Linked DNA regions of Tamandua tetradactyla. The protein of the gene in region 1 purifies or fractionates together with the protein of each later gene. This does not show direct contact. Links are inferred from orthologs where the notes say so. Each region holds a gene or a part of one and is shown on either strand. Other genes may lie near its edges.

The links.
Region 2: the proteins of MRGBP (region 1) and VPS72 purify together in Homo sapiens (co-immunoprecipitation; 5 studies listed by BioGRID and IntAct, counting the BioPlex papers as one, with this or other methods). This does not show direct contact. The link is inferred for Tamandua tetradactyla from reciprocal best matches to the Homo sapiens genes MRGBP and VPS72.
Region 3: the proteins of MRGBP (region 1) and MBTD1 purify together in Homo sapiens (affinity purification with mass spectrometry; 4 studies listed by BioGRID and IntAct, counting the BioPlex papers as one, with this or other methods). This does not show direct contact. The link is inferred for Tamandua tetradactyla from reciprocal best matches to the Homo sapiens genes MRGBP and MBTD1.
Region 4: the proteins of MRGBP (region 1) and BRD8 purify together in Homo sapiens (affinity purification with mass spectrometry; 10 studies listed by BioGRID and IntAct, counting the BioPlex papers as one, with this or other methods). This does not show direct contact. The link is inferred for Tamandua tetradactyla from reciprocal best matches to the Homo sapiens genes MRGBP and BRD8.

The regions. Positions count from the first base shown.
Region 1 is NC_135327.1:60,344,884-60,352,837, forward strand, and holds the start of MRGBP (MRG/MORF4L-binding protein), read left to right. Parts: upstream 1-4,937; 5' UTR 4,938-4,965; coding exon 4,966-5,113; intron 5,114-5,234; coding exon 5,235-5,356; intron 5,357-7,576; coding exon 7,577-7,658; intron 7,659-7,954.
Region 2 is NC_135330.1:4,371,197-4,378,453, forward strand, and holds the start of VPS72 (vacuolar protein sorting-associated protein 72 homolog), read left to right. Parts: upstream 1-4,243; 5' UTR 4,244-4,337; coding exon 4,338-4,454; intron 4,455-7,257. UniProt on the Homo sapiens protein: Deposition-and-exchange histone chaperone specific for H2AZ1, specifically chaperones H2AZ1 and deposits it into nucleosomes.
Region 3 is NC_135332.1:32,355,642-32,362,950, forward strand, and holds the start of MBTD1 (MBT domain-containing protein 1), read right to left. Parts: upstream 3,005-7,309; 5' UTR 2,979-3,004; coding exon 2,871-2,978; intron 1,553-2,870; coding exon of another isoform or gene 1,163-1,552; exon of another isoform or gene 747-1,162; intron 721-746; exon of another isoform or gene 483-720; coding exon of another isoform or gene 462-482; intron 267-461; exon of another isoform or gene 14-266; intron 1-13. Other genes in the region: UTP18 (U3 small nucleolar RNA-associated protein 18 homolog), read left to right, coding at 1,163-1,552, 3,103-3,215, 5,686-5,784. UniProt on the Homo sapiens protein: Chromatin reader component of the NuA4 histone acetyltransferase complex, a multiprotein complex involved in transcriptional activation of select genes principally by acetylation of nucleosomal histones H4 and H2A.
Region 4 is NC_135346.1:17,856,244-17,863,717, reverse strand, and holds the start of BRD8 (bromodomain-containing protein 8), read left to right. Parts: upstream 1-4,466; 5' UTR 4,467-4,765; coding exon 4,766-4,784; intron 4,785-5,724; coding exon 5,725-5,821; intron 5,822-7,474. Other genes in the region: kinesin-like protein KIF20A, read right to left, coding at 10-78, 172-283, 397-591, 770-902, 989-1,176, 1,301-1,439, 2,086-2,205, 2,306-2,395 and 2 more. UniProt on the Homo sapiens protein: May act as a coactivator during transcriptional activation by hormone-activated nuclear receptors (NR). Isoform 2 stimulates transcriptional activation by AR/DHTR, ESR1/NR3A1, RXRA/NR2B1 and THRB/ERBA2.

The DNA.
Region 1 (7,954 bases):
ACGAGGCTCTGACTTGGCAGGAGGCAGCCAAGAAGACAGGACAGGATGCAGCTGGCAGGGCCCCTCTTTCCAGCATATCAAGTAGCTGGCCAGGAGACAATCCATGCAAAAAGACCACCTACCCAGATAAACTTGAATTCCAGGTAAATAGCAAACAATTTTGGAGTAAAACTTTGTTTCAAACATTGCAAGGGATATACAACATTATTTGTCACCTGTTGAAACTCCAGTTTAAATGCACTTTTTGTATTTTGATTTGTTAAGTCTGGAAATCCAAAAAAGGAGCCTATAATTCCCACCGCCTGTCTGGAATGAGTGCAGGTGAGTCCAGAGCCCCAAAGCTTTCCACTTGCCCTGGGCAGGTGGAGTGGTGGGCAAGGTGGAGGTCCTACCAGGGGTGCTGTGGGGGTCCCACAGGTGACTCCAGAGCCCCTGGAGGTGGGACAGTCCTGCAGGCCATCAACGCAGATGCCTGCCCTATGCAAGGAACTGAGTGTCTTCAAAATGCTGGGAACGGCTCCAAGGAACAGAACCGCCAGCAGGTTTCTGGGCCAAACTGCCACTTTGGGTCCCCATAGCAGATGGGGACACCCCTGAAGATTTGATACATCCACTGAGGGCCGCAGCAGCTGGCCTGGGCCCCTGCTCCTGCGACCCCACGCAGCCCAACCTCTGATTTCTTTGAGAAGAGAAATGTCCACTTGGAATGGAACAGAAGGGCCACAGTAGGACAGGGAGACCAACCCCTCCCCTGGCCACCATGCTTGCCCATGACAGGGCAGGGATGGTCATGGTTAGGGTCAGAGACTCTGGCCCCTCAGCCTGGGAAGGAGCCCGGGAGCTGCCCTCGATGTCCCAACACCCAGAGCTGCCATGGCCCCGGCTCTCCAACATCAGCGCAGCCACGGGGGGCCGTGGGCCAGATGGGGGCTGGGAGCCCCGACCCCTCAGCACGCTCTGCTCTCGGGCGCTCCCACACCTCCTTGTGCCTGGAGGAACCCCCTCCTTGTTGCTTTTCTTGTCACCAGTCACTTATCCTCACATTATAAGATGATGTCCAAACCTCGCAGGGCCACACGGGGCAGAGCGGAAGCAGGAGGATGGGGAACAGGGGGTGGGGGGTGAGGGCCTGGGAAGGTGACCTTAAGGACAGGGGTGGGGGATGGGGGAGGGGGCTGCTCATGCCGAAGGGGGAGCCTCAGAGAGGCAGCCTGGGAGAAAGGATGAGAAAGAATAAAAGATTGTGGGTCAAGAAAAATGTGCTTTGTATAAAAAAGAAACTTTGAAATGAGATATAAACATAACAATTAAACCTTTCTTTCATTTGAGAACCCCCAGAATGGAAGGCAAGAGAGAGACTGGGTTGAGGAGGCAGCTGGGGAAGGCATGGGAGCCCCTTTCGTGTGTAGTGGATTTTGAACCACACCGACGCATCATCTGTCCGCCATGGAGCCATGGTAAAGCACAGGAGTGGAGGGAGGTGGAGGGGAACACCCGGGAGGCTGACCCAGGGGGTCAGGGCAGAGGCAAGGAGCCCAGGCCCAGCCCAGTCACCACCTCCAGCCACACCAGGGCTCCCCCATGACAGCTGAATGCCCTGGGCCACTTATGCCCCCTCTCTGGGCCACATCTGCCTCATTGCAGATTGCCAGCAGATGGGGACGCTGAGGCTTAGGCGGTCACTGGGCTTACTGGGCAGGTGGGGCTGACCCAGAGGCGGCCTCAGCCAAGAGGCAGTACTCAGCACCACCCACTCTAGCCCCGGGCAGCCAAACCCCCATCCACACACCAGAGGAGAATGCACTGTTGCTGGGCCCATTTCAGAGGGAAACTGAGGCCTGGAGTCTGGGAGGTAGGTTCTTATGGAAATTTAAAAACCAGGCGCATTTTCCCACATCTCCCTGTGGCCCCCAAGCTGCTGAGCTGGCCCGATGCGCCCCGTGCCCCACAAAACCAAAGGCAGAAGTCAGGAGAGCCCCAGGGCGGGGGGCTGCTTCCTGTGGGCCTGTGAGAGTGAGCCCAGGACCTCTGGGAAGACGCGGGGGCAGTGGAGTGGGGCCGAGCCGGCTCGCCAAGAACCCTCTGCGGCAGAAACCGAGAGCCACGGAGCGCCCCGAGAAGCGAGGCCAGAGGCGGCGAGGCCAGCAGCACACGGGGCACGGAGCTCCTGGGGGGCGGCCTCAGTTGGAAGGCGGGGCTGAGAGCAGGAGCGGAGGCCGGAGGCGGGTCAGCTTGGCGCGGGAGGGGCGACAGCTGCCAAGAGGTCCAGGGCAGGAGGGGCGGGGCGGGGCGAGGAGAGGGGGCGGGGAGAGGGCGGGGCCGCTAGGGCTTCCTCAGGCTTGAAGACCGGCCGGAGGCCCCGCCCCCGACCGCCCTGCCCAGGTCCGCCCCGGGTTCACCCTCGCCCCGACCCTTCTCCAGTTCACTCCCCCCACCCCCCGTACCCATCCGCATCCTCCATCCTTGCCTCCGACCCCATGCAAACTCATCCCCCACTTTCAGGCCCCCAGTTCAACCAGGCCCCGCCCCACTCCCAACGCACCCCCCCCGTCCCCGCCCATACCCCGCCCCCTGCCCACCCAGACCCCACTGGGCCTGGCCTCCCCCCCAGTGCACCAGGCCCCGCCCCCGGCCCTGCTCGCAGATCGCCCGGCGGGTCCCCACCGGTCCAAGCTCCAAGCTTCGACCTCATCCAGACCCCGCCCCGCCGTGGTTTCTTTTCCGGACTCGCGGTTGACTCCCACCCAGAGTTCCAGACTGCGTTGCCCGGGGTTGATCGGTCAACACCGGCGGGGGGCAGCTGTCGAGTGCAGCAGGGTCCGGGCGCCCCTTCCCTCCGGTGCACAGGTGGTCGTGGGCCCCTTGGTCCAGCTCCGGCCCAGCAGGATGGTGCTAGCCCAGCGACAAGTAAAGCCTGTTGGAACCTCCCCTCCCCACTGGAATTGTCCTTTTTTTTCCTTAACAGTTTTATTAAGATACAATTCACATATCATACAATTCACCTGTTCAAAGTGCACACTTCAAATATTTTTAATATTGTCATAGATACGTGCATTTAACACCACAAGCAACTTTAGAACATTTTAATCACCTGAAAAGAAACTCCGTGCTCATTAGCAGTCACTTCCCATTTCTCCCAAGCTCCCCAGCCCCTCCCGCCGAGGTAACCTCTAATCTGCCTTCTGTCCTATGGATTCTCCTATTCTGTAAATTTGAGATAAATGGAATCATACAAAATGTAACCTTTTGTGATGGTGTCTTTTGCTTCTTTCAGTATGCAATCTTCGAAATCTATCAATGTAATGTCATGTATCAGAACTTCTTTTCTTTACATGGCTGAATAATTTTTTGTTGGATAGATAGAACACATTCTGATTATCCATTTTGTCAATGTCCACGTGGGTGGTTTGTTCCTCTCAGCTATTGTGAATTATGCTGCTGTGATTTTTTGAGTGGACATTTGCTTTCAGGGGACTTGCTGGGTCATGTGGCAACTCTGTGTTCAACATTCTGAGAAAGGGCCTATTTTCCACAGCAGCTGCACCATTTTACCTTCTTACTAGCAATGCACGAGAGTTTCTACTTCTCCGCATCCTCACCAACACTTGTGATTGTCTCTTTTTTACTGTAGCCATCCTGATGGGTGCAGGTTGTATCTCATGGTGGTTCTGCTTTGCTTTTCCCTAATGGCTAATGATATTCAGCGTCTTTTCATGCTTTTTTGGCCATTGGTAGATCTTTAGAGAAATGTCTCTTCAAGTCCTTTGCCCATTCTTTAATTGGGTTATTTGTCTTTATATTTTTAGCTTCAAAAGTTCTTTATATAAGCAGGAGAGTAAGCCAACTCTTCACTTTGTAGTATTTCAGGTATGTGAGGTCAGCTATCAAATTCTCCACTCCACCTGCTCTCGGGGCTGAGCCTTCCCAGCTCCTTCAGCTGTTCTGAGATAGTTTCCAGACCTCTGACTGGGTGGTCTGTGGCCATCCTCTTCTGTTGGCCACGTCCCTTTTAAAATAAGATGCCCAGTATGGAGTCCCACACTGTGTCCTAAGTGTCTTCTAAATAGCATGAGACAATTTTCTGGATCTGGACAGTGCATTTCTATTCAGTATTAACGTGGCACTGATCTTTTTAGCAACTGCATCAAACTGACGACTCAGAATTGCTGATAATGCCTTCTTCAAGTAACATTTCTTGAATTCCTGTGATGTCTCAAGATGTATGCTAGGTGCGGGGAATATAAAAATAAGACATACTTCCTGCCCTCAATGAACTTACAGTGAGCATGAGTTTCCAATCAAACACTTCCCAGTCAGTTCAGTCTCCCGTATTCTATACTTTTTGCATCTAAATGCTCACCTTCATTGTTTAAGAGAAAGCTATAAAGATCAAAGGAGAAGGTGGAGTTGTAACAGTTAATAGGATTTAACAAATGAGCACGATTGCTGAATCATTACACTGATATTTCTCTTAGTTTCCAGTGTCTCGGAGCAGCTAGAAGTAAAAGCCTAAAATTGTGGAATTGTAATCCACATCAAATTCTGAAATTTGTTCTACAAGTAATTGTGTTGTGCTTTGAAATTTATTGCTTTTTTATGTTATTATTCACAATAAAAAAATTTTAAAGAAAAAACAAAACAAAACAAAAAAAAGTTCTTTATATAGTGTGGATACTAGACCTTGCAAATATTTTCTTCCGTTCTATCCCGAGGAACCCCCACTACCCTAGGGCCAGAGCAGGGCGGCTGGAAACGGTGGCCCATCCACAGCCGCTGGACAGCACTACGCGGCGCGATGCGGCCGCCAGGGGGCGCCATGAACGCGTGCCGGAGCCCGGGCCATTAACTGCGCCTGCGCTGGAGCGCGATCCCCAGCGCGCGCCTGCCCGAGCGCGCGCCTGCGCCTGCGCCTGCGCGGGCCCGTGGCCGCGCCTCCTCGCGCGGGGCTGGTGGCCAGCCGCGGCCATGGGGGAAGCGGAGGTGGGCGGCGGCGGCGCCGCGGGCGACAAGGGGCCGGGGGAGGCGGCAACGAGCCCCGCGGAGGAGACGGTGGTGTGGAGTCCCGAGGTGGAAGTGTGCCTTTTCCACGCCATGCTGGGCCACAAGCCCGTCGGTGAGCGCGCCTGAGGCCGCGCACTCGCGTGGGGGCGGGGCGGTTCCGTAACCGTCGGGGTGGGGGCGGGGCATGGGGCCAACCCTCCCCGCCGACTTTGCCCACCGCCCCCTCCTCGCAGGTGTGAACCGGCACTTCCACATGATCTGCATCCGGGACAAGTTCAGCCAGAACATCGGGCGGCAGGTCCCTTCCAAGGTCATCTGGGACCACCTGAGCACCATGTATGACATGCAGGCGCTGGTGAGGCCCCAGGGGCCCGCCCCGGGGGAGGCCGGCAGTCCCATCTTTTCTGCCCCGCCGGGTCCCGCGGCCCTGCCGGGGATATAGCTTCCGCCTGGGAGGGACGGGGCCGCTGCACAGCGTAGCGCCAGGGAGGGGGCCTGCGCTTGTGAAAAAGCCAAGCCCTCGTGGCTGGGAAATGGGGGATTGCTTGTCTGAGAGCTGGGGCTGAGCCTGAGGCCTGGGGGAGGGCGTCCCAGCAGCATCAGGGGAGCCTGCCAGCACATTCCCGGGTGTTTGGGTCCTACTCAGCCACGGGAGGTCCCAGGGAAGACGTGGGCAAGAAGGAGGCAGGGTCCCATCTGGTAAAGGTGGTCACAGGAGCTTCTGGGGAACCAGGTGGGCAGGGTTCCTGCCCTCACAGAGTTGCCTGCTGGAAGGGATGGGGAGGATTAGTGGGTCAGGATGCTAATGAAGAACAGCATGTGGCCAGCGACCTGGGGGTGCAAGGGGGATGGGGGCCAGGAGGGGTAGGAAGACCTGCGCCCTCCAGGCAGAACCTGGGGCCATAGCCGCCTCCTGACTGGGACATCTTCAAGGCTTCTGCCTGGGGTCTGTTGTACCCCCTTTCCCGGCCTTCCCTAGCTGTACATGGGAGCTGAGCACAGTCACACAGGGAGGCAGGGGGCCCGTGGCAAGCACCCTGAGACCTGTGCTGCTGTCCCTGTGAGCAGTCCATGATGAGGCTATTCTGAGCCTGGGCAGAGCCAGACCCCAAGTGATGGGCCGGTCGGCCAGGTGCATGGTCTGCTGGGGTCTGGAGTGGGTACAGGACCCGACCTAGCCCTGAGGTCTGGTTCTGCCCTCTGGCGGAGGTGTCCCCTCTCCCCACTGTGAGTCAGGACAGTGGGCACCCTCTGCACCAGCCCCTGTCATAGTGAGGCACTCGTGGCAGGGGGGCATTTGTCCAGGCCAACTGGATCCAACCGAGCCCCAACTCCAGCCCTGTATTAGGCTGGAGGCCAGGGTGCAGAGATGTAGGTGCGGCACTGACTCCCCGTCGTTGGGATGCTCCTGCCACAGTGACATGGATCTGAGGCTGCCAGGCCCACCAGTATGAGGGACAGACTTCTGGCTTGGTGGGGCCTCACACTGAGAAGTCTAGTCTCTGGGGCACTCAGAAAGCTGTCAATGCCCGCTCCATGGCTACTTCCTGTTCCTGGGGCAGCTTATTACATTCAGGGGCTGGGCAAGACTTTGGGTCATCACTTTTTTAGGCCATGGCACCCCAATATGACTGATTCCAGAATCACTCAAGATCATATAAAACGCGGAGCCCTGGCCAGCCCCCACCACCACCAAAGGGAGACAGATTTCAGGGGGACTGCTGAGTGGAGACCCTGTATCCTGCCTCCACCTCCCCACCAGTCAGGGATGCTTTCCCTTCTATCCAGCCATCCTGGTACTTGTGACTAGAGCCCAGTAGGTGTCCCCGGCTGACCCTGACCCACTTGCTCGGTTGTCCACCCTGGTTCCCGGTGGGCATGGGCGGAAGCTGGAGGGCCTCCGGCCTGGACCCTCAACTGCCCTGTGTGTGCTGCAGGTTTTGCCCAGCTTGTGCTCTCAGAATATACACTCGTGCTGAGGCTCATCTCATGTGGGCTGGGCCCATGCCCTCCCCTGAGCCACCCTGGGGGTGTTTGTGGGCGGGTGGGCTTCAGCCTGCCCTCTCAGTTGTCACAGACCCGAGTCTCCCCTCTGAGGACTGCTGAGGCTTTCATGTCATTCTTGCCTTCTGTGGGTCTGTCTGCCCAGCCCAGGCCATCGTAGGCTGTGATGGTGGGAAGAACAGGGCCCTCAGCTCTGTACCCCAGGCCGTCCTCCTCCCTTACCCCTGTGCCCCTCACCCCTGTGCCTCAGCCCACCCTCCTCCCTTACCCCTACACCCCAGCCACCATTATCCCTCACCCTTGTGCCCCAACCCACCCTCTTCCCTCAGTCCTGCGCCCCAGCCCTCCCTCTTCCCTCACCCCTACACCCTTCACCTCTGTATCCCACACCCACCCCTGCACCTCAACCCACTCTCCTCCCTCACCCCTGCACCTCATCCCTTCCTCAGCCTTGCACCACATTTATTTAAGATGATTGAGCATCATCACTGCTCCTGAGTTTTTAATCATTGGCTGAAATCACATTTTTTCTTTGTTTTTTAATAAAATAAAACATCGCATTTGACATCAGCATGAGTCTGAGATTCTTCCATTCCCAAATCCAGAGAGGAACTTCGTCCTTCCTGAAGAGATCATTCAAGAGGTCCGAGAAGGTAAGAGTCGGCGAGCTCGGGTCTGGGATTAGAAAAGGCAGGTGCGGGTGGGCCACGGTGGCTCAGCAGGCAAGAATGCTTGCCTGCCATGCCAGAGGACCCGGGTTTGATCCCCGGTGCCTGATGCCTGCCCATGTAAAAAAAAAAAAAAAAAACTCCAGATCCCTCTTGGGGAGCAAATGTTAAAATACAGTTTGAAATGCTAGTGGTAAATGAAAGCGAGGGGTAAGGGGTATGGTATGTATAGTCTTTTTTTTCTCTATTATCATTTTATTTCTTTTTCTAAATCGATGCAA
Region 2 (7,257 bases), on another chromosome or scaffold:
ATTCCGCCGGCACAGGGGGAGAGCCCCCCCCTCCGCAACTTTAGCCGGTTTCCGAAGGAGGCTGCTTTCCACCTTCACAAGGGACTAGGCTCAAGCCAGCTGCCGCGACCCACGTTCAGGCCCACCAATCCCAAAGGGATAAGAGGCGGGGGGATAAATCCGGCGGAGAGACCGCCCCCTCCCCCTCTTCCTCAGCCACAGCGGGTTAATCGCCCAACCCTACCGCTCGGCTCCCGGTGTCAAGGGAAATCCGAGCACTGCGCATGCGCCTGTTTGATCTCAGCGTTCCAGCCCTCTCGGTGCGGAGGGGTGGGCGGCCCTGAGGGGAGCCGAGCCAATCGCGAGGCTGTTACCGATCACGTGAGGCGGGTTCCTCGTGCCCTAACGAATCCTCGGGTGGAAGCCAGGCGCGCCTCGGTCGGCTCACCTCTCTTACGGAGGCTTGGCGAGTCGGTCTAGGAACCTTCTTTGCCGGCTCTGGACTGCGTTCTCCGAACTTCGGCAAGAGTGTGGGGGACCACTTCTCGAAGAGCTCTGGAGAGCAGCGCTGGTGCCGAGTCAGAGACGTTAAACAGTTGCATATCGTAAAACAATACGTGTCACCAAGGATCCATCTTGACTCTTTTCCGGCGTTACCGCCTTGTTTACTATTTAGTTTAAGGTGCGTGCTTATCTTAGTTCCGAATGGCGTTCTGTGCACATCTACGTTTGGTTTGCTTCCAACACGATGCTGGCCACAGTGACAGCGTTCAGTAAATATGTAAATATGTAATAAATGAAGTATGGACACTTGGGGGAAAAAAGCCACAGAAAGCAGTTAGACCATGGTACAATCTTCCCGCGATTCAAGGCTTTAGTCTCCAACTCTCGAGTCTCTGAGTTCCAAAGGACTTTAGACATAGAGAAATTCCCCCATTCTCATGGTCTAGTCTTCGCACTAAGTCTACTCAGTTTTAACAAAGTGCCCTCGAGGTTCGGTACAGTCTCTGAACAGATTGTAAACTGCTAGAGAGCAGGGACTGTGTTTGGGTCACTCATACCTCCAATTCCTCGCTGTGACTACATTGTTGGGGCTCAAAAGTTATTTGTAGAATGAAGAAATGAAGAGGTATGGAAAATATCCAGGTTTTACAGCCCTCAAGATGGCCTAGTTATCCTCCATCCTGATGTCTTCTGAGTTGTTGAAAGGGAACCTAGAACCTAAAAGTCCATAAAATATCCCCAACATACTTACATCGGCCTTCTACCCCTCCTCCCACCAAGATCCAAGATAATTGTTTTCTTGCTGCCACCTGCTGGATTATTTTTCCTTCTTTGGGTCGAAAAGCTTCAAATGATTAGACTGCCACCCCTAATTCTACAGTAGTGAAATTGTGAAGTACTGAATTATATTATGATTGGCTATAGCAATACCCACCCCCAAAGAAACACCATAGGGAATAGCAGGGTGGGGGCACACTGCCTAGCAAAGGATTTGATTCGTGGTAGGTGTTCAATAAATACCTGTTGAGTAAATTATCCTTGTTTCCATCTAAAGCATGAGATTGTTAGCATTTCCTGAATTACTTCTTTAGCAATCATTTGATGTAGATGTAAAGCTGTTTCTGATTAACAATTGGTAAAAGACCAATAAAGCCCTAACTGACAGAGGCAGTAGGTCAAACAGAGGGCTTTTCTCCCTGGAATCTAATCTATCACTTTGATAAAAGAGTGAATTCGTGCTCGCTTCGGCAGCACATATACTAAAATTAGAACGATACAGAGAAGATTAGTATGGCCCCTGCGCAAGGATGACATGCAAATTCGTGAAGCGTTCCATATTTTAAAAAAAAAAAAGTAAATTCTATTTCATCCCTCTTGGAAGAAGAAATCCCTCTTTTGTAGCTCCTTAGGAGTCTTTGTTTCTCCTTTATGTACCAGAAAATGTTTACTATTATACTTACCACCTTGTATTGTTTTTGTCTCCCTCACAAGACTGTGACCACTTCAGGGTAAAGATTACATCTTACCCATTTTCACTTCTCAAGCATCTAGAATGGTGTTTGGCAGAGAGTAATTGTCCAATATCTGTGCTCTGAATATATGAATGAATGAAGGCAAAATTCAAGAAATGGGGCTAGGGGTGTTTAAGAAGCAGGTATCACCCATCTTTCCCCCCTAAACCTTGTCTCTGTGCTCACTCCCACTCCATTCCTGGGGTACTCTCTGAGTCATGGAGCCATTCATCCCCAGTAACATTCCTGACATAGCAGAACTGGAGTGACGTGGCAGGGTGTGGAAGCAGGGGCAGTGCAGGACAAGTTGGCTTGGTGCTCCCAAGGAAGTGGAGAAGGGAGTTCACCAATACATACTTTGGGAAGGGAGGGGGCATTCTGGTGACCTCAAAGAAGGGTTCAGGGAGACATGAACATACAGACGGGCACCTGCACATGCATGTGCACACATACGCCCACAGGACTTTAGAAAAACTTCCTTTAGTGACTTAGAACAGTTCCCAAGGTCAGAATGAAGGGGCAAGAGGCTGGCAAGAGCAAATGAGAAGCAAGAATAAGAAGATGGATGCCATAACCATTCAACTTGTCATTTATTAATTCATTCAAGGAACATTATTTAGCCCCAACTATATCCCAGGCACTGTAGAGAGTTCCTAATATACAAAATCCCTGCCCTCAAAAAGATCACGAATAATGAGGGAGACAGACACATAAATCATTACGATAATGTGTAGAGGTGTTACCATAGAGTATGTATAAGTGCTATGGTTTGACAACCATATTTTCAGAATAAAAAAGTGGGAACAAAAGTAGACACGGACCCCTGTCTACATGGGACATGACTCCCAGGGGTGTGGACCTTCCTGGCAACGTGGAACAGAAATCCTAGAATGAACTAAGACTCAGCATCAAGGGATTGAGAAAAACCCTAGAATGAGCTGAGACTCAGCATCAAGGGATTGAGAAAACCTTCTCGACCAAAACAGGGAAGAGTGAAATGGGACAAAGTGTCAATGGCTGAGAGATTCCAAACAGAGTCGAGAGGTTATCCTGGACGTTATTCTTACGCATTAAGTAGATATCACCTTTTAGTCAAGATGTAGTGGAGAGGCTGGAGGGAACTGCCTGAAAATGTACAGCTGTGTTCCAGTAGCTGTGTTTCTTGATGATGACTATATAATGATATAGCTTTCACAATGTGACTGTGTGATTGTGAAAATCTTGTGTCTGATGCTCCTTTTATCTACTTTGTCAACAGACGAGTAGAACATATGGATAAAAATAAATAATAGGGGGGAAGAAAAAAAGTAGACACAGAGTCTTGACGATACCACAGATGATATGAAATTAGAAGATACTCCAGAAAATCTAGAAGGCATGATCCCCTTGGTTACAGGATCTGTACCTCAAAAGTCAGGGATGAGTGTGAGGGAAGACTTCACTGCATTCAGAATAAGTATTTAGACGAGAAAGGCAAGGGATTCAAAGGCGAAGGAAGCACATGGGGGCATACCAGAGAATTGGGTCTTAGGGGAGTGATGCTGGAATAGGATGAATGTAGTGATGTGGCAGGAGGTGAGTCTAGAAAGGCAGGGGAAAGCTAAATTATGAAGGTAGTTTTGACCTACAAATATCTACTACATGCTTACTAAACACTGTGCTAAGACATTTGCAAGAATTATCTCTTAATCTTCATAACAGCACAGACTCCACAGGTAGGTATTACAAGTATGTCTCATCTGTAAGATGAGAAAACAAAGGCAGAGAGGTAAAGCAACTTGCCAAAGGTCACAGAACTAGATGAACTTAGATAAAATTCGAACTCAGGTCCGTCCGGCTCTAACGCTGTGCCCTTGACCACGGTTACTGCTCTGGCTCGAGTTAGCACCTTATTTCATGAGGGTGGGGAGTTATTAAAAGGTTTCTGAGCAAAAGAGTGACAGAGTCCAGTCTGGGTTTTTAGAAAAGTTCCTACTGGTAGCAGAGTGGAAAACGAATAGGAGCAAAGGGAAACGGACCTCTTCTAAAAGAAAATTGGTTGATTTCCAAATTCAGGACTTACGGTAGTAGGTGGGGCGTCAGCGTCTCCAAGTGGAATTTTTCCGTCACTCGAGTTGGCGGACTAGAGCAGGGGGCGTGGTTTCCGCCCGGGGTGGGCGGGGCTGAAGAGTAAAGCTCGGCCTAGGGGGCGGGGCTAAGAGCTCCTCGATGCTCTACTGCTTCTGACTGTACACGTTCCGCTTCTGCCGCCCACGGCCATCCGCAGGTAGTGGTGTCGAGCGCCGAGTCCCGAGTCGAGCTAGGTGACGGGATGCTGGTGGGGGCGCAGCCTCGGTGGGTAGTATGAGTTTGGCTGGGGGCCGAGCACCCCGGAAGACAGCGGGGAACCGGCTTTCTGGGCTCCTGGAGGCAGAGGAGGAAGATGAGTTCTACCAGACGACTTATGGGGGTTTCACAGAGGCAAGAGCCGGGCCCAGGAAGAGGGAGGGGAGGAAGCGAAAAGTGGAATCCTGAAGGGACAAACCCCGGACAAAGAAGTGGGGAGCGGGTAACAGAGAGAAGCCCTGGAAGCTGATACTCAAGAAGGGGGTGGGGGGGTAGTCCAAAAGGGAGAGTCCTGGACGGGGTTGGTGGGCTGAGGAATGGAGAGGCTCTCGGTGGGAGACCCTAACATGTGGCAGAAACCAAGCGTCTACTTCTCTAGTTGCATGTCTCACCCCATTTCTGACGTCCAGCACACGCAAGGCACATCTGGTCGCTCGATATATATTCCTTGGTTAACTGCTTGGTTATTCACCTGAGATGTAGAAAGGACCCTTCCGCAAAAGTAAAGGGGCTTAGCCCACTCCTTTTTCAGTTTAAAAGTCTCAATATCTCCTTAAATAACCTTTCCTTAACTGTTGTAAAAGTATCTCCATTTGTTTCCTTCATAGAACATGTTTCAATTTGTAATTAAATTTGGTTTGCTTACATGTTAATGCTTTCCTATTAGATTGTAAACTCCGTGATGGCCCGTGTTCAACAGTAAAAGACCAGTGGGACTAGTCCGGTGTCTGGACTGGACTGGCATTCGTTAAATTTTATTGACCGAATCTATCTGTTCATTATGTGCTGAGCACCCAGAGCATACAAAGCATTATGATAAGCTCTAGGGGAACAGAAAGTATTAAAAACACCGCTCTATTCTTACATATTCCAAATCCCAGTGGGGGAACTAGTCAGGTTAACAGCTAACGTATTCTAAAAATTGTATGATAAGCACTAAAATAAGAGACAGGCATAGAGGGCTATGGTATCATGGAAGCCAGAGTTGTTTGGGATTGAGATCCCCGGGGGTGTGATGTTTAAGCTGAGAATAGTTTGAAAAGTAAGCTTTGGCTAGATGAAGAGAAGTAGGGCTGGGAATAAGGCAAAGGAAACAGTCTCCAGAAGGCATGGAGTAGAATATGTAAAGGCGCTGAGATCCTGGTCTGGCCTGGAATCTGCAAGTCATCCTCCAGAGCATGAAGGAGAATGAAGATTGGTGAGGCTGGAGGGAGGAGGCTGGGCTAGATGGTGTAGGGCCTTGAGAACCGTGTTCAGGAGTTTTACTCTTCAGAGGACTGAGGAGATTCATCAGAATAGCATGATCAAATTTCTGTTTTAAACAGATCAGTCTTTAAGGAGGAGAATGGTTCAAAGGTGGCAAAACTAGAGGCAGGGAAACTAGATTAGGTAGAATCCAGGAAAGATAGAGGTGATGGTGGCCTGAGCTGAATTTGTGGCAGAGAAAGTAGGGAAACATGGACTAGATGATACAAAGAAATTAAAGAACTATAACCCACAGTACTTGATGACTGACTGGGAATCGTTACTTACATAACCCTAACCAACTAGGTTAAAATAGAAATGTCTCATCCCTCCTACAAGGCCAAGTCCCCTCTCCCCATTTTCCTATTTTTGTCATTTTACGAGTTATTTAATATGTACCAGTTGTACTTCCAAAAATAGTTTAAGGAGGCTTACACTATACACAAAAAGTAGGAACAGTAAAAATAGAGACAGATGAGAAGTAATTGTACCAGGAGCCTATGCTAAAATGGTAATAGCAATTGATAGTAAATTTAGCTGTGAGTTTCCTGGCAGCCAAATCCTGAATTTATTTATTTATTTTTGTAAGAAAGAAGCATGTAAGTTTGTCAAGAGTGACAAACTTATTCAGTATTAAATCTTAAAAGGAATTTATCATAGCATCCTTCTATAAGATGTATAAAGTAACAGGGTTTTGTAAGTGATGTAAAAAAATTCCCTTGTCTAATCATGACTATTAAGGACCCTCAAATAAAAGCCAAAGAAATGGTGGTAAACCCATAATTTAGTGAAAGCATTTCATTGAGCATTAAGCTAATGTGCAGTTGAACTACTACCCTGTAGTGATATGACTTAATACCAGATTAGAACTCAGGGGATTAATATGTTCCCAGGCTGTCTTTCACAAACATCACGTGGGAAGAAATGATAGTCATCAGTGCAAGATGGAATTTTGACTGGCTTGGAGTGTAAAGCATCTTGTTTGCTTGTTTTGGCTGCAAGTGTACCAAGGTTAGCCCATTAGTCTGCATCATAGATTGAAAAGAGAGCCACATGTTTGAGGTGCTACCCAGCCCAGTAGATTCTTCCTCCCCAAAGTGCTTTTTCTTCTTTTGCATTGTGGCTGCTATTTTAGCCCTAAACGGCATCGCCTAAGTCTAGGCTGTACCTCGTGCTCGCTGCTCCAGCCCATCTAACCACCTCCAGACTTTCTGAAACACCTTTTATACACAGTTTTCCCCTCCTCCAAATCTTCAGTGACTCTCTGTTCCCCATTGTAGGAGTACCCAACTCTTTTACTGCCCCAACACATCTAAGGAATGAGACATACTTCTCTCAGTAACTTTACTAAATCAATACTAATTTACTCATCATCAGTGTTGGGACAAGTAAGGGGATGGAGGGAACTGAGAATCACTGGCCTGCAGGTTAAAAATCATAGGTTTATTAGACTGACTACTAAGCCTTGCCATAGACTGAATGCAGTCTCCTTTTCAAATCTTTCATATCTGGAAGGTAATCAGTTAATGTTGAAGGAGACTATGGAGCCAAAGGCAATCAGCCAGGAAGACTTCTTACCAGAAACACTCTGCTTTGCTTAGGTTGAAATCCTTATTCCATAAACATTCTATATTCATTCCTGCTTTGGCACCTTTGTTTCTGCTGTTCTGTCTACCCATGATTTCCTCTTTAC
Region 3 (7,309 bases), on another chromosome or scaffold:
GCGGCACTGGCCCCAAAGCGGGTAGGCGCCTTTCCCCGCCAAGCACCAACACTATGTCCCCTCGGAAGCCAAGTGGACTTCCAGTCTCCCACTCTGAGAAGCTAAAAAAGAGAAGAGTCCCAGATCCAGCTACCCACCCCACTCCTCTTCCAGAGCGGGGGCAGGGGGCTCAAGACGCAGAGAAAAACTTTCTTCTCAATGTTTTTTCCAGAGCGTGGAAGAGGGGTAAGGAGAACCCCAGGGAGGCCGGGGCTAGGGGAATGGGGGGAGGGGAGACCCTGAATCGTTTAACGGCCGGTAGGGGGAGGGGGACTCCAGAGGTAGAGGGGGCGTGGGATAAAGAGACAGGCCTGGGAGTGGGGCCAGGGAGCTGTAGGAGTCCCTGAGGTCGGGGAGCTGTAGGCGTCCCCCCACCTTGCACACACTTTGCACACAAAGCGGCTGCCGCGCTCAGTTCTCACCAGATCCTTTGTGTTTTCCATCAGGGCCTCATGGGTAGGGGATGTCCGTGCTCCCCGGACCCGCGGCGCCCCCTCCCCGAGCCGGGGGTAGGCGCCTCTCCGCGGGACGGTGGCGACTACAAGGGGCCCACGGCTGGGCCCAGACTGGCGGCGGCTGTGGCAGCCCCCGGATTTCCCCCCTTTAACTAGGGTGGCCCCAGGATATCAACAACATTAGCATAGCCCTCCCTCCCCAGCGCGCTTGCGCCGTGACCTGCGCCCCGATTGGCCCACTTCCCTACATACCCTCCTCTCTCTCTCTTCCAGCGTGGGACCCTCTACAGGCTCCGTACTCTATGGGTCGTACCAAGACGCAGGGGTGGAGAAGGTAATCAGGACGTGGATTAAGTCGACGGGTTAAAAAGCAGAAGAGTAGAAATTTCATTCCATCACCTTGGTTTATACTTTGGCTTTTTGTACTCCTTTGACTATGTTGCAACTGCGAAGCTGACATGGAAAAATTTTCCATCCCTGTCACGCCGCTTCCCCCTTCACCCAGAAGATTGGCTCTCCCGGAGGAACTCCCACGTGGGGAGGGGCTCCCTAGAAGAGTGGGCGTTAAGTAGGGACCGAGTGTTGGGTCACGTGCTAAGAGGCTGCACAGGCTCCTTCCGGCCCCTCCCGCCTCTCTAGTGGCGGTGGAAAGTGAGGCATCTGGGCACATGCGCTGTAAGGTTCCACGTGAGCCCCTACGTTTCTTCTCAAACCTAAAGATGCCGCCGCAGCGAGGGAACCGAATGAAACCCAAGCGCAGAACCGGAGGGATGCCAGCTTCAAGGACTCGAATGAAGCCGGACCGAAGAAGCGGAGCGAGGCCGGCCGGCCCAGCTCGAAAACCTGCCCTTTCATCCCAGCGGAAATCCGCTGCCCGGCTAAGCGCGGCGACCGCTGCGATCGCAGTCACGGCGGAGGAGGAGAGGCGGCTCCGGCAGCAGAACCGTCTGGCGCTGGAGGAGGACAAACCCGCGGTGGAGCGGTGCTTGGAGGAGTTGGTTTTCGGCGATGTCGAGGACGACGAGCACGCGCTACTGCGGCGCCTGCGGGGCCCGCGGGTAAGGGAGGCCTCGGCGCGCGGGCTGGGTGCGCTCGGGCGGGGCGCGCGAATTGCTAGACTCCGGGGGCGGAGTCTGGGTGACCTGAGGCGGCGAGGAGCGCTCAGGTGGGAGGGAGCCTGAGAACGTGGGCGCCGAGGGGGTGCCGCTGTGCGTCCCCCGCCTCTTGGAGCCCGACGAAGTCTTCGGAGGGCGGAGACCGCACCTCTCTCCGCCTCCAGGGGAGCCACTGAGCCTGGTATGCAGCAGGTGCTCAACTTGTAGTTAGTTCTGAGCATCTTATCGCGGCTCAGCTTAGCTGTCCTTTCCAGCGTGGATGCTTGATCACTTTCCTCAGTCGTCTACCGTGTTTGTTGATGTAGGTTGCGGAGTTCCATTTTATTTGTGGAATCAGAATTCCTGGGCGCGGGCCTGGGAAAATGTATTTTAACAGTCTCTTGTATACCAGCTTTTCTAACCATTGTGTAATCGTTGATTCAACACATTTGCCAGCTTGTTGAGTGCCAGATACTCTTCTGGCAATGGCAAACCCTTCGTAATTGCCTATACGTTTTTACACTTTTTAAACATTCCTTTTATTATATGGCTTTCCTCCCAAGTTTGGGAGTTCCAGGCATTGTTCACATAATGAATGACATTGATAAAATTTTCTTGGAGCTTATAAACCAAAGGCAGAGACGGACAATAAAATAAGAAGAGCTCAAATATGTTAGTAACAAGGGCTGGAGAGATTGTTAAAAAAAAAAAAAAAAGCTTTCTGGGAAGGGTGATTAGTGGTATGGAGGAGGCCAGTGAGAGTTTAGAAAGGGTCGCCCCGAAAAGCTTCACCGAGAATTACGCAATTTATTTGCTAAATTAATGCGGACCTAACAAGGGTCAAGTTCGATCTGATTTCCAAAGCCTTTGGGTGCTATGGGAGAAATTGCTGATGTCTAATCTTAAAACAGACTGTATGACACTTCGATAGTCAGTGAAGAAAAGGAATAAATATACCTGAAGTGGACTTGTCGAGACTTCTTGTAGGAGATGGGATTTGTTGGGCTTTGCGTATATCTGTAAATAGAGTAACTAGAAATCCCTTGGGCATTTCTACCATGCAGTTTCAGGAAGGCTGAGCTTATTCCAAGAGATATTCTGTGATCTTCGTTTAGATTTCATAGTGGTTTCTTGAGTAAAGCTCAAAAAGAGTTAAGAGAAGTGAAGGAATAGTTCTAAGAGTATGAGATAAGAAATATGACAATTATGTTATTTTTGACTCTAGATTTGTCATTTTCTGTAGTTCTGGAATTTTTCCTGTGCCTTTCCTCGTCTGTCTTACCTTTTGTTGTTGTCTTACTTGGTCTTTTTCTTTTAGCATGTTAATTTTCTCTAAGTTCCATCTTTCCTTGTCTGTCCAGGCTGCAGTGCCATTTACTGGTCTTTTCATTTTCTGCTCTGTAGCATGCTGGTGGCATTCCATCCCATTATTTCATCAGAGGACTGCATTCTTCAAACCACCTGACTACAAGATGTGTGAAAAACTCATTGTGAGGACATTTTGTATTTTCTAGATTCATGTGCATGAAGACTCTGATGATTCAGAAGTGGAGAATGACTCAAAGGATACTTTTCCACCTCAAAAGAAGCCAGTTTGGGTGGATGAGGAAGATGAAGATGAGGAAATGTGAGTTGCTTAACTTTTTCTCCAGAATTCTTCTTGACACTTGAAAAGTTCTTTTGCAGGTTTTAAACATTCTTATGAAAATGTGATTGAAAATTTGAAAAGTGTAGGAAATTATGGAAAAGAAAAGCTGAGAACCACTGTTAACATTTTGGCATACTTCTCTCCCTCTCTTTTTTTCCTTCGTTGTAGAGAATAACAATGAGAGCAGTGTGTTTGAAGAACTCAGACCTAAGTTTCTTCCTAATTTGGCCTTTTTTTTTTCTTTTGGAATTTCAAAGAGAGAGTTTATTGCTAAGCGGGAAGCAGATCACATGGCCTGTAGGCTCAAAATCTGTCTCCCTGAATTTAAGGAGTTTGGGTTTTTTATGGATTCAAACAAGGGAGATGGTGTTGTTACCATTAAAATAACATGTGTAAACAGAGCTGAGGCTAGGGTAGAATGACCACTGTAATAGGAAGTATACACTGGGCTAAGAGTTTCAGTAATTTCAGGTATTGACATTAGGTTAGTCTACAATATAGAAAGAAAAAACATCTATAGAATGATTCAGTAATCATAATCATTTGTTAATTTTTAATTTCTGAGTTACAACTTCAGCAAAATTGGACTTGCTTTGAAACAAGTGGGGCTTTAATTGATATACTGTGAAGTGACCTACTATTGTTTTTCTAGAACAAGAGAGTAGCAGTAATTACTGCCTATGGAAACTCTGCCTTGTGAAATAGAATCATGCACTTACCTGACTTGCTTGTTCAAACTGCTGCCTTCTCATGCCCTAAGAGATGTTCGAAATCACATTGCAAGTTGTACTTTCACTATTAACTCCACTGGCTGAAATTCCTCAGTAGAACTTTGCTGGGCTCCTCAACTCTATTTCTGCTAGGACCTCTTTGCCTTGCCAAGCCAAACTGAGGAATCCCAGAAAGTTTTTTTAAAGTTATATTTTCATCTCCAGATCATACACAGTTTCTTTAGTTATGTGGAATTGGAGGATATCACTTTTGCATGTTCTATGCTGATGAGGAAGTTTGTGTTCTGTTTATTCTTCTGAACTTTCTTGGGTTCCTTTAGCTGCTATAAAATTATCCCTTTCTCCCAAAGAGTAGAAGTGTTTCTTTTTTCTGTGATTTGGACTACCATACTCAAATTATTAGACTTCTTGTTTCATGACCCTTACTTTAAACTTTAAACTCCTTCAGAATTTGACCATTTCTTAACTGTCCTTCAGCAAGTTTGGAACCTACCTTTTCTCATTTGTAAAATGATGATGATAATAACTATCAGAAGGGTGTAGGGATTAAATGAAATGGTGCAAATAGAACTCTTGGCACAGTGCCTGGAACTGTGTAGGCTAAAAGGTTAGCTAGCACATGTGATATGTGCTTTTGTTGATGAAAATGTACCGTATATTTAGTTTAGCATGTTGTCTTTTTCTAATTATCACTCTATTTCAAGTATTTGCTCCCTATTTTTCTTTTCTTTTTTTTAAAAAAAACCTTATAAACATTTTTAAGGGCTGTATTATAACCAATAGTACGAATTAATCCTAATTTACATAGCTATTATTGGACCGATTGTTTTTATTTTTCCCTTTAATAAATTAATGCATCTTTGTGCATGAATTTCTGTCTACTTTCCTGATTATTTCCTTAAAAAAGATTCTCTGAGGTGGAATCCCTTGATCAGAAAGCATGAGCACTTTTAGAGCTTTGGATAAATATGGCCAGACTACATATGATAAGGTTCTATCAGTTATTTTCCCATCAAAAGGTATCCATTTCATCACTCCTGTTGCATAGATAATGTTATCGTTTTTCAGATTTTGTCAGTTTGATGGGTGGGAAATAATCTCTAGTTTGTGTTGAAAAACCATCTTTGCTATTAGTCGTTGGTATTTTCTTTTATAAGAGTTCTTTAGTATCTCTTATTTATTTATTGGAGACTTTCTTAATTATTTTAATGTAAAAGAACCCTACATATTGTGAATTTTAAAACTTTTGTGTCGAATTTATTGCAAATTTTTTTCCTAATTTCCTGTTGGCCTTTTAATTTTGTTTTGTAATGTCTTTTGAAACTCCATATTTAAATTTTTATATTGATCTGTGAATCTTTTTTTAATACTATTTTTACTAATTTACTGTTAAAACAGATTTTAACAGTTTAAGATTTGTTTTTTGTACATATAACTTGATTACCTGGAATTTAATTTGGTTGATGGTATAAACTGTGCCAGGATAATTGATTTTGAATTTGAGATATTAGCTCTCTCATGAATAAACTCTCTCATGATCTGAAATACTGGAGATTCTTTTTTGTTTGAAGAAGAATGGAGAATATGCATATGATATGTTCTGCATCTTATACATCTTGATATATATTGTGAAATTAGTTTTATCTAAGTGGTAAAGGCAACAACTATTTGTGTTGAATCTTTAAACATTTAAAGCATGCTGTTCTTGTTTTTTATAGGGTTGACATGATGAACAATCGTTTTCGGAAAGATATGATGAAAAATGCCAGTGAAAGTAGACTTTCAAAAGAACAGTTACAAAAGAGACTTAAAGAAGAGTAAGTGTCTTTTTTCATGTGATTCACCAAGATATAATTTTATAACCAGTAGTTTATTTGGAGTTGCAAATCTTTGTTTTCTGTAGGTTTTTGAGTAGTCAGTTTCTGTTTTGAAACAGTTAAAAGTATTGTTATTGGAAGAAATGATTAAATTTAAAATTGGGAGAGCGAGGATACAACAAGCGTGAAGGAAATTTGGAAGAAGTTTTTTGTGATCTCACCACTCAAATATAACCAGTGATGATACTGTGTACTTGTTTAATTATTTGTATGTAGTAAACCATCTCTTTCCCACAACTTTATAATATGAAAAATTTCAAAATTGAACACCTTTAATACTTTCTACCTGGATTGGATGATATTTTAGCATTTTTGCACACATTTGCTTTATGTATGTGAGGGGTGTGTGTATGAATGTGTGTGTATATGATTTCCTGATTTATTTGAAGTGAAAATAAGGTGCAGAAAACAGAATACTTCATTCTTAAGTTCTTCAGTATGCATTGCCAAAGGTCAAGGGCATTTCCCTTCTTATCCAAGATATCATTATCAAATCTTACACATATCTCCAGTTGTCATAAGGTTCCTGTGTTATATTTTATGTTTCTAAAATCTCTTTTAACCTAAGCCAGCCTTAATTTTTGCCTCTGACATTGATTTTTTAAAATATTCAGGCCAGTTTTCTTGTAGAATGTTCCACATTCTGAAATTTCTGTTTTGGTTTTTTTTTTTAATTGTGGAAACATATCTGCAACATAAATATTCCCTTCTCACCCACTCCTATATCACTAATTAATGGAATTAATCACATTAAAAAATACTGTTATTCTCACCACCTTCCATTACTAAAATTTTCCCATCTCCCCAAACAGATACCCTATATTCATTATGCAATAATTCCCCATTCCCCCTGGCTCATGTCCTTGATAGCCTGTACTCTAATTTCTGTCTCTATTAGTTCACATATTCTCCAGAATTTTCTTTATATTTACTGTAGGATTTAAATTTAATATCCTAAATCTATAATAATCTTGTTTGCCTTGATACAACTTGACTTCATTAGTATACACAAATATGCCCCTCTAGCTTTTGACCTTTATGTAATTCTTGTCACAAATTGCATTCTAAGTCCAAAACCTCTGATTCATTGTTGCATTTTATGTATTTACCTTTTAGATCCTATAAGAAGTAAGAAGCAGAATTACAAACTAAAAATACAATAATACTGGCGTTTATATTTGCCCATGTCATTACTCTTACTGGAGGTCTTTATTTCTTCATGTGTTTTTGTGTTTGTGTGTGTGTGTGTGTGTGTGTGTGTGGCAGGCGAGAACTCTGCCTGCTGAGCCACTGTGGCCCGCCCCTTCATGTGGTTTTAATCTGTTGTCTGCCATCCTTTCCTTTAAACCAACAGACCTCTCTAGCATCTTTTTTTAGGGTTGATCTAGTAGTGCCACATTCCCTCAGCTTTTGTTTATCTGGTAATGTCTTAATCTTGCCCTCATTTTTGAAAGATAGTTTTATT
Region 4 (7,474 bases), on another chromosome or scaffold:
CAAACTTACTCGCTGATCTTGGGGACTATATCCCCTTCCCCCTGAAGGTGTAGGATCCGGATTGAGAAGATGCTGTGACTAAAAGTTAAGGGAAAAAAATGTCATTGTATACCTTCCATGACTGGGCAGAGGACTTGTGTTTACTGGAATACAGTAAAGGTTGACTTTTACCTGCGACTGGAGTTCTGGTTCAGGTGGGTGCTGGCAAAGCTCTGGTTCTTACGACCCACTTTCAGGAGTTTCCACGCCTCCTCAGCATCCTGAACATGAATCCAATTGAGGTCTTTAGGCCAAAGGAGAGAAGGGCATAAGATGGGTACACTCAATCAACTCTTTTCCTAGTTTCTCCCCCAAACCCCCTCCAGTGTTCATGACATTTCCTACGTCTTCCCATACCTTTCACATAGGGATTGCCATTCTGATCTTCGCACAGCCGCAGAGTCTGCCTCTTGCGCTGCTGGCTAGGTGGTTCTAACAGGTCATAGATCATCTCATTGTAGATTTCAAAGAAGGAGATCCAGATGGAGAAGCGAATGTGTGCTGGGACACTTACTGGGGCTGTGTCTGGTTGTGCCCATCGGTCACTTGTTTCTGGGGAAGGAGCAATGTACAGGGCATTAATTCTAGAGCAGTCCATCTCCCTTTTGGCCTGCAGGGGCCTTGGAAGGCAGAACTCAGGTTGTAACCTATGGTCTGAACCCTGGCAACTGTTGGGGCAGAGACTAAGTTTCTACTGTTACTTGGCAAAGAGACCAATTATGGTACATACCATCTAGCTGGCTACTGCTGGTAAACTGACTGGTAGAGGAGAGCCCAGCAATGCCACTGTCAAAGCTGGTGCTGGTACCCATCTGCAGACTTTCAATATAAACGCTTCGCTTCAGGGAAGTGGACAGCTCCTCCTGGAGGGGCCCAGAGAAGAGATAAGTCCAAAATTTTCCAAAGATATGTACCCTCACCCTTGCCTCCATGAACACTAACACCTCACCTCTTGTAAGCCTCCATTTAGCAGGGCCAGCTTCTTCATTTCTTCCTGCCTGATCTGCTTGCTATCTAGCCATATTACTTCATTGGAAAGCAAGGGTTTCAGATCAGGTATTGGATGAAATTGTCCTTGGAGGCTATTGAAGATCAGAGCCAGGGACCGGGGCAGGATCCCACCATCCTTGATGGTACCTGGAAGTATATGAGAGATGGACAACTGAGGCAGCTACCTTTCTCCCCCCAACTCAGAACATTAAAAGGCAAAGATAACATCCTCATAGGCCAGCTAGCAACCCTTTTAGGCTTTTCTACTTACCTTGAATTGTGTGGGTTTTCCCTGAGTTGGTGACTCCATATGTGTAGATGAGCCAGTTCTGCCCTTTGAGTACATCCTTTACCATCTCCTTCACAGTTAGGTTGAAGAAGGATGCCTGTCCCACTTCTGGTCCAAAGATCTAGAGACAAAGCCAATTTGTCAGTGGTATGTCCACCCTTCATCACCCATTCTCCCCCTGTGCAGATTTATTCCTCCATTCTTGGGTGATTGGCTCTGGAGACAACTTCAAACAGCCTCTTCCTACAGTGCTACAAGCTTGCCCCTAAATACTAACGATCCAACCACTTCTCTGCTAGTCCATCCTTCATCCAAATCAACAAATTCTTCTGGAATGCTACACACTCAATGAGGCAGAATAATGGTTCACAATGAACTTTAGGGATGGATGGCTCTGGATCCAAGTCCTACTGTACCATATATGTTACTTCATTGAGCCACAGTATCCTTGCGGGGAAAATAGGATTAACAACAATAATAATCACAACAATAGAGTCGTGAATTAATGCACATAAAGTACTTCAGACAGTACTAGCACATAACAGTACCCCTCCCCAAACTGTAGATGTGTACATGTGTGTATTTATATGCGTGTATATATATAGGTACATATACAAACTCATGCATGGCTATATACACATGAACATACAGAGAGTCACACACACAACTTAAGATCTCACAGTCAAGTAAAGAAGTGTTCTTTCTAGAGAGGAAATGAAATTGTCCCTAGATGCTGGTTCTTTGTTCACAGCCCAGAACCTTCATACCTGGGAAAAGGTGAACCTGTGGGTGGCTTGGCCAATTCCTCGCTCATTGCTTTTCAAGGCAAAAGAGTCCTTAGGTGCTTGTAGAACAAGAGTCTCTCCATTCTCAATGCGGACACAGCTCTGTGGGTGGGGAAAACAGTTGTCACAAAAGGAAGCATTCCTGGGAACTACTTCTATATTACATCATTCCATCTTGAGTCCTTCCTCCTCAGATACTCACCTGATCTTCCTGTCGTTCCAATTCTGAAGGTAACAAGGGCCTGATCCTCAGGTATACTTTCACTTTCTCGGTACTATCCTCAGATGGAACCTGTGGCAGAATTTCAACCCAAAAAAACAGATTAATCATCTGAGCAGATAGGCAAACATAGCACCGTTCTTAGGAATCATGCTAGTGATTCTACCCCCTTCTACCCCAAATGTCTCTGCAGGTACTCTTTGCTTTCACAATCATCCCAACTCATATGGACTTTTTCACTACTCTGTCACTCTTCCCTATCTCATCAGTATCCTGCCACTGTTCATTGCCATACTGATTATCTCAGAATTAGTTGACTGGTATGAAAGTCAGAATGTGATATTAGGGCAAAGCACAGTAGTTAAGCACTATAAAGGCAGACACACCTGAATTTGAGTCCTAATCCCATCATTTAATAACTATGAGACCTTAAACAGATTCTTTAAATTCTCTCTGCCTCAGTTTTTTTCATCTGTAGAATGAGGTTAATAATAGCACCCACCTCATTCATTCTACAGATATTTAGTGCCTATCATGGCTCAGGAATTTAAGAGGCTCTAGTAGTTCATAGTGAGGGTTATCATCAAAGCTCCTGCCCTTTATGAGAAAGAAGACTTTTGAAGACAAGATGTGACAATGTAGATTCAGTGTTTAACATAGGGCCTGTCTAGTACAGTGGTTCTCTAGCAGGGCAAACGTTCCCCCTACCCCTCCCCAAGCTCCCAGGGACATTTAGCAATGTCTGACTTTTTTGGGTCACCAGTTGGTTAGTACTACTGGCATCCAGGGGGTTGAGGCCTGGAAAGCTGCTAAACATCTTATAATTTCCGAGACAGTCCCCCACAATAAAGAATTATCCAGCCCCCGATGTCAATAATGCTGCAGCTGAGAAATCATGGCCTAACAAAAAGAAAGTCTCAATAATCGTAATGATGGTTGATATTATTAAAACCTGAGTGTACATTTCACCTACTTAATGGCAGTATGACCTTTTGCAAATTATTTAACAGGACTGGGAGGGACATGATGGTATTTTATTAATGCAATGCTAATACTAATTCTTCTTATTGAAACCCAACTCTACATTTTTGACTGGTCATTACCCTTCACTTTGAACCGATCTCTCAGAATCTCAGTTTTGCTTGCCTTTGACCTAACACCCTGTATAGACAACTAGTAGGGTGGAGATATCACTTTCTTACCCCAAGCCACGCCCCAACTCTGTTACCTGTTGCTTGTTCTCCAGGGAAGTGGAGATGACAGAGCAGTCTGACAGTAGGTCTTTGCGTATCACAGACCCTAAATCTGCAGCTGTAGACTCAAACATAGGGGAAACTGCGAGTTCCTCATCCGACAATAAGCCGGCTGGTGGAGAAAGGATCCCTTGTGACATGTCGGCAGGGACAGCTTTGGTCTGAAAAGAGACAAGAGTGGGTAGGGAGGAAAACTTTAAGGACAGAAGGGGTTGCAAATTCTAGGTAAGAAGCAATCCCCTTACCCTTGGAAACCTGGTTTGCCTGCCTGAATTCCTATTCCCTTTTCCCTCCAAATACGGGGAAGGGGTTGAGAGGAGGAGTTAATCTTTGAAACCTTTCTGGAGAGGCATTTCCGACCTTGAATAGGAAAGAAAAGAGATACACCTCCAAAACTAGAAGGCCAGTAGGGTACCTCGCCTTTCCGTACTATGGGGCACGGGCAGAGTCAAAGGTCAGGATCCCCAGGCTCCTTTTCCAACCTCTTCCCAAGTCCACCACGAGGGCAAAGGTATTAAGAAAAAAAGAGATGGTGGCGGTGCCCCCTTCTGAAAGCCCGTTCTGCGAAATCAAGAGCTGATAACCCGGGCTCCAGTCGAGCTGCACACTTACCTGAAGCCGCGACACTCGTTCCCGCTCCGGAACCGACTCACTCATTCAGCTGCGGATCCTGGACCTTAGCGGTCCGCAGCACAACTCCGCCCACGAGGCGCAGCTTTGTTACTGATACATTGTTTTAAATTACGCGCTCCGTTCACTCGGCCAATCAGACAAAAGAGCCTGCAGCTACCAATCAGCGCAAAGAAGGGAGGCGGGCGAAATAGGGGACTTCTGCTTCTATTTGACCTCTCCACTCTCACGTGGGTCCGGGTTACCAACTGTCGGAAATTTGGAATCGAGTCACTTCGGATTCGTCCGGCTTAACCCTTTAGCGTAACCCCTAGACATTTCATTTCCTAAGAAGCCTGAGGCTTCAGTTGCCATCCCCTGTCCTTCCTTAGCAACGCTACTTTAACTTGCGTACTCCGTTGGGGGAGGTGGGGGGGGGTCGGAAAAACAAACAAACAAACAAACCTACATTTCCCAGGAGTCATCGCGAACAAACTCCCGTACTCGATTTCCCAGAGTTCTCCGGGATCCGGTCCTACCTGACTCACACTCTTCCGGGATAGTAGACTTCGGGGCCAAGATGGCGGCAGGAACGGGCAGTGAGTGTCTGCGCTACTTTTGAGCGGAAGGCCATTGTAGAGCCGAGGCTAGGCACCAGATTTCAGTCTAACATTTAGGGAGTGGTTGGGGTGGTTTGGCTGAGAGCCCAGGGTGTCCAGAGACCTGCGCTTGACGGCGTAGTAAAGGCCAACGGTTGGGGGCCCGAAGTATAGGGTCCTGTGTCTCAGGGAGGGAGCGGAGGCGTAAGGGAAGTATTTAGCGAATCCCTGTATGTAGGGAGCTCCGCGGAGGAAGGCATAAAGGCGCTCTAGAAACTTGGGCGTGCAGACGCAGATTCGGCCATCATACGGAGGGGCTGGTGTCTCAAACATCAGTTCAGTTTCTAGCGAATGTGTTTGTGAGGCAGTGGAAATGGGGTCTTTTAATCGTGAGCTTTTTCTGCCACCGGGAAAATTGAGTTTCGTACATCTCAATTATTTTCCTTATGTTTAATAGGTAGAGAAGGCCTTTTAGGCCCGACAGTTGGGGGCGGGGTAATGAGACTAGTAAACAGTTTTATGCTAAGAAGGAGGCGGGGCAGCAGGCGGAGCTAGCCGCTCGGAATCCTGGGAAATAAACCTGTATTTTTAAATTAGAGAAAGTATTCTTAAAATTGGGGCTTTCGAGAAAACTTTTTCGGCTTAATACGTCATTTCCTATCTTTTATTAAAGCGGAGCTTGAAGCCTTGGGTTTTGAGGAAATCAAATGTTCTCCCATATACCACACACCGTGCAATTCTCATGCAAAGAATAAGTACCCCCCACCCGCACCCCGCACCGTGATACACAGCTATTTCGCTTTAACGGCGAAAATCCAGATTTGGTGCTATAAGAGCCTACTTTGTGCTAACAAGTTGGGTGTTTTGTATTAGGCTTTTAGTTCTCTGGTGCTTAAAACTCGTGTCTCTGGTTATCTGTATACTCTTTCTCTACTTTCAGAACACAAACTGTTGAGTTCTGGCCCCACAGAGCCATGGTCCATCCGGGAAAAGCTGTGTTTGGCATCTTCTGTAATGAGAAGTGGAGATCAGAATTGGTACGTTATCCATGATGTCTGTCTTGGGTCTTAGAACTGCTGGGTATTTTTTCCTGCTGTTGGATATAGTTAATGAATTATATTTAATTAATCTATATATTAATCTTTAAGCATCTTTTTTTTTAAACAGAGTTATTGAGATGTAAATCACCATAAATAATACAACTCATTGGTTTTAAGTATATTCATAGAGTTGTGCAACCATCACCATAATCTAATCTTGGAATATTTTCATTACCCCAGAGAGAAGCACTTAACAGTCAAGCTACATAACTTCCTCCACCCCACTCCCATCCCTAGGCAACAGCTAGTCTACTTTCCGTCTCTCTTGATCTGCCTGTTCTGGACATGTTGGTTTTCTGTGACTGGCTTATTTCACATAGGATAATGTTTTCAAATTTCATTTATAATATAGCATGTATCAGTACTTCATTCCTTTATGTGGCTGAAAAGTATATTCCATGTATAGATAGCCACATTTTGTATGCTCATAAGTTGGTAGAAATTTGGATTGTTCCCACCTTTTAGCTATTATGAATGATGTTGCCATCAATCTTTCTTGTTTTTGTGTGAACTTGTGCTTTAAATTCTTTTGGGTATATTAGGAGTGAAATTCCTGGGTCATATGGTAACTCTGTATTTAAGTTTGAAAGAACTGCCAAACTGTTTTCCAAAGCAACCACAGTTTTACATTCCCACTAGCATGAATGAGTATTCCACTTTTACCACATCTTCACCAAGACTTATTTTTGTCCTTTTGTTTTTAACTATCCTAGTGGGTGTGAAATGGTATCTCATTTGGTTTCGATTTGCATTTCCCTGATGATTAATGGTATTGAGCATTTTTTCATTTGCTTAGTGGCCATTTGTACATCTTCTTTGGAGAAATACCTATTCCGATCCTCTGCCCTTTTTTGGGGGGTGTGGGGGTGTGCAAGGTCTGGGAATCGAACCTGGGTCCCCTGAATGGAAGGCAAGCATTTTACTACTTAAGCACTTGTGTACTCTGCTTTGCCCATTTCTTAGTTATTTATCTTTTTATTTTTGAGTTGTAAGAGTTCTTTATATATTTCAGATACAAATCTCTTATCACATAGATGATTTGCAAATGTACCAGCAATGAATGAATATTCTGATTTCACCATATCCTCCCCTTCTTACTCTAGAGTAGTCTCCATTAAGTTTGATATGTCCTTTCATAAATTTTTCTATGTGTGGTTTGTGGACATGTTTAAATTTTTTTTTGAATAAGAATAGGAACATCATATATACATAGTTTTTAGCTTGATATTTCATTTAAGACAGTATGTGGGTATTTTTCTGTCAATACACTAGATATGATCTTATTCTTTTTAAAAACTCAGTAGTATTCCATTGGATATACCATAATTTGTTTTACATTTGTCTTCTACGGGCATTTAGGGGTACAGTTTTCTCTTTGTATCAGTATTTCTATAGGATAAGTTCCTAGAAGTGACATCGCTAGATCTGAGATATGCACATTTTCAATTTTAAGAATCTTGTAAGATACTAGACTTCTCAAAATTTTTCTGTTTAAAATAAATTGTATTTATTTCCTTGTGTGTTTTCTCATTTTATGAAAGGTACGTATAACTGCTAGTCAGATAGTTATTTCAATAGATGAGAAAACCA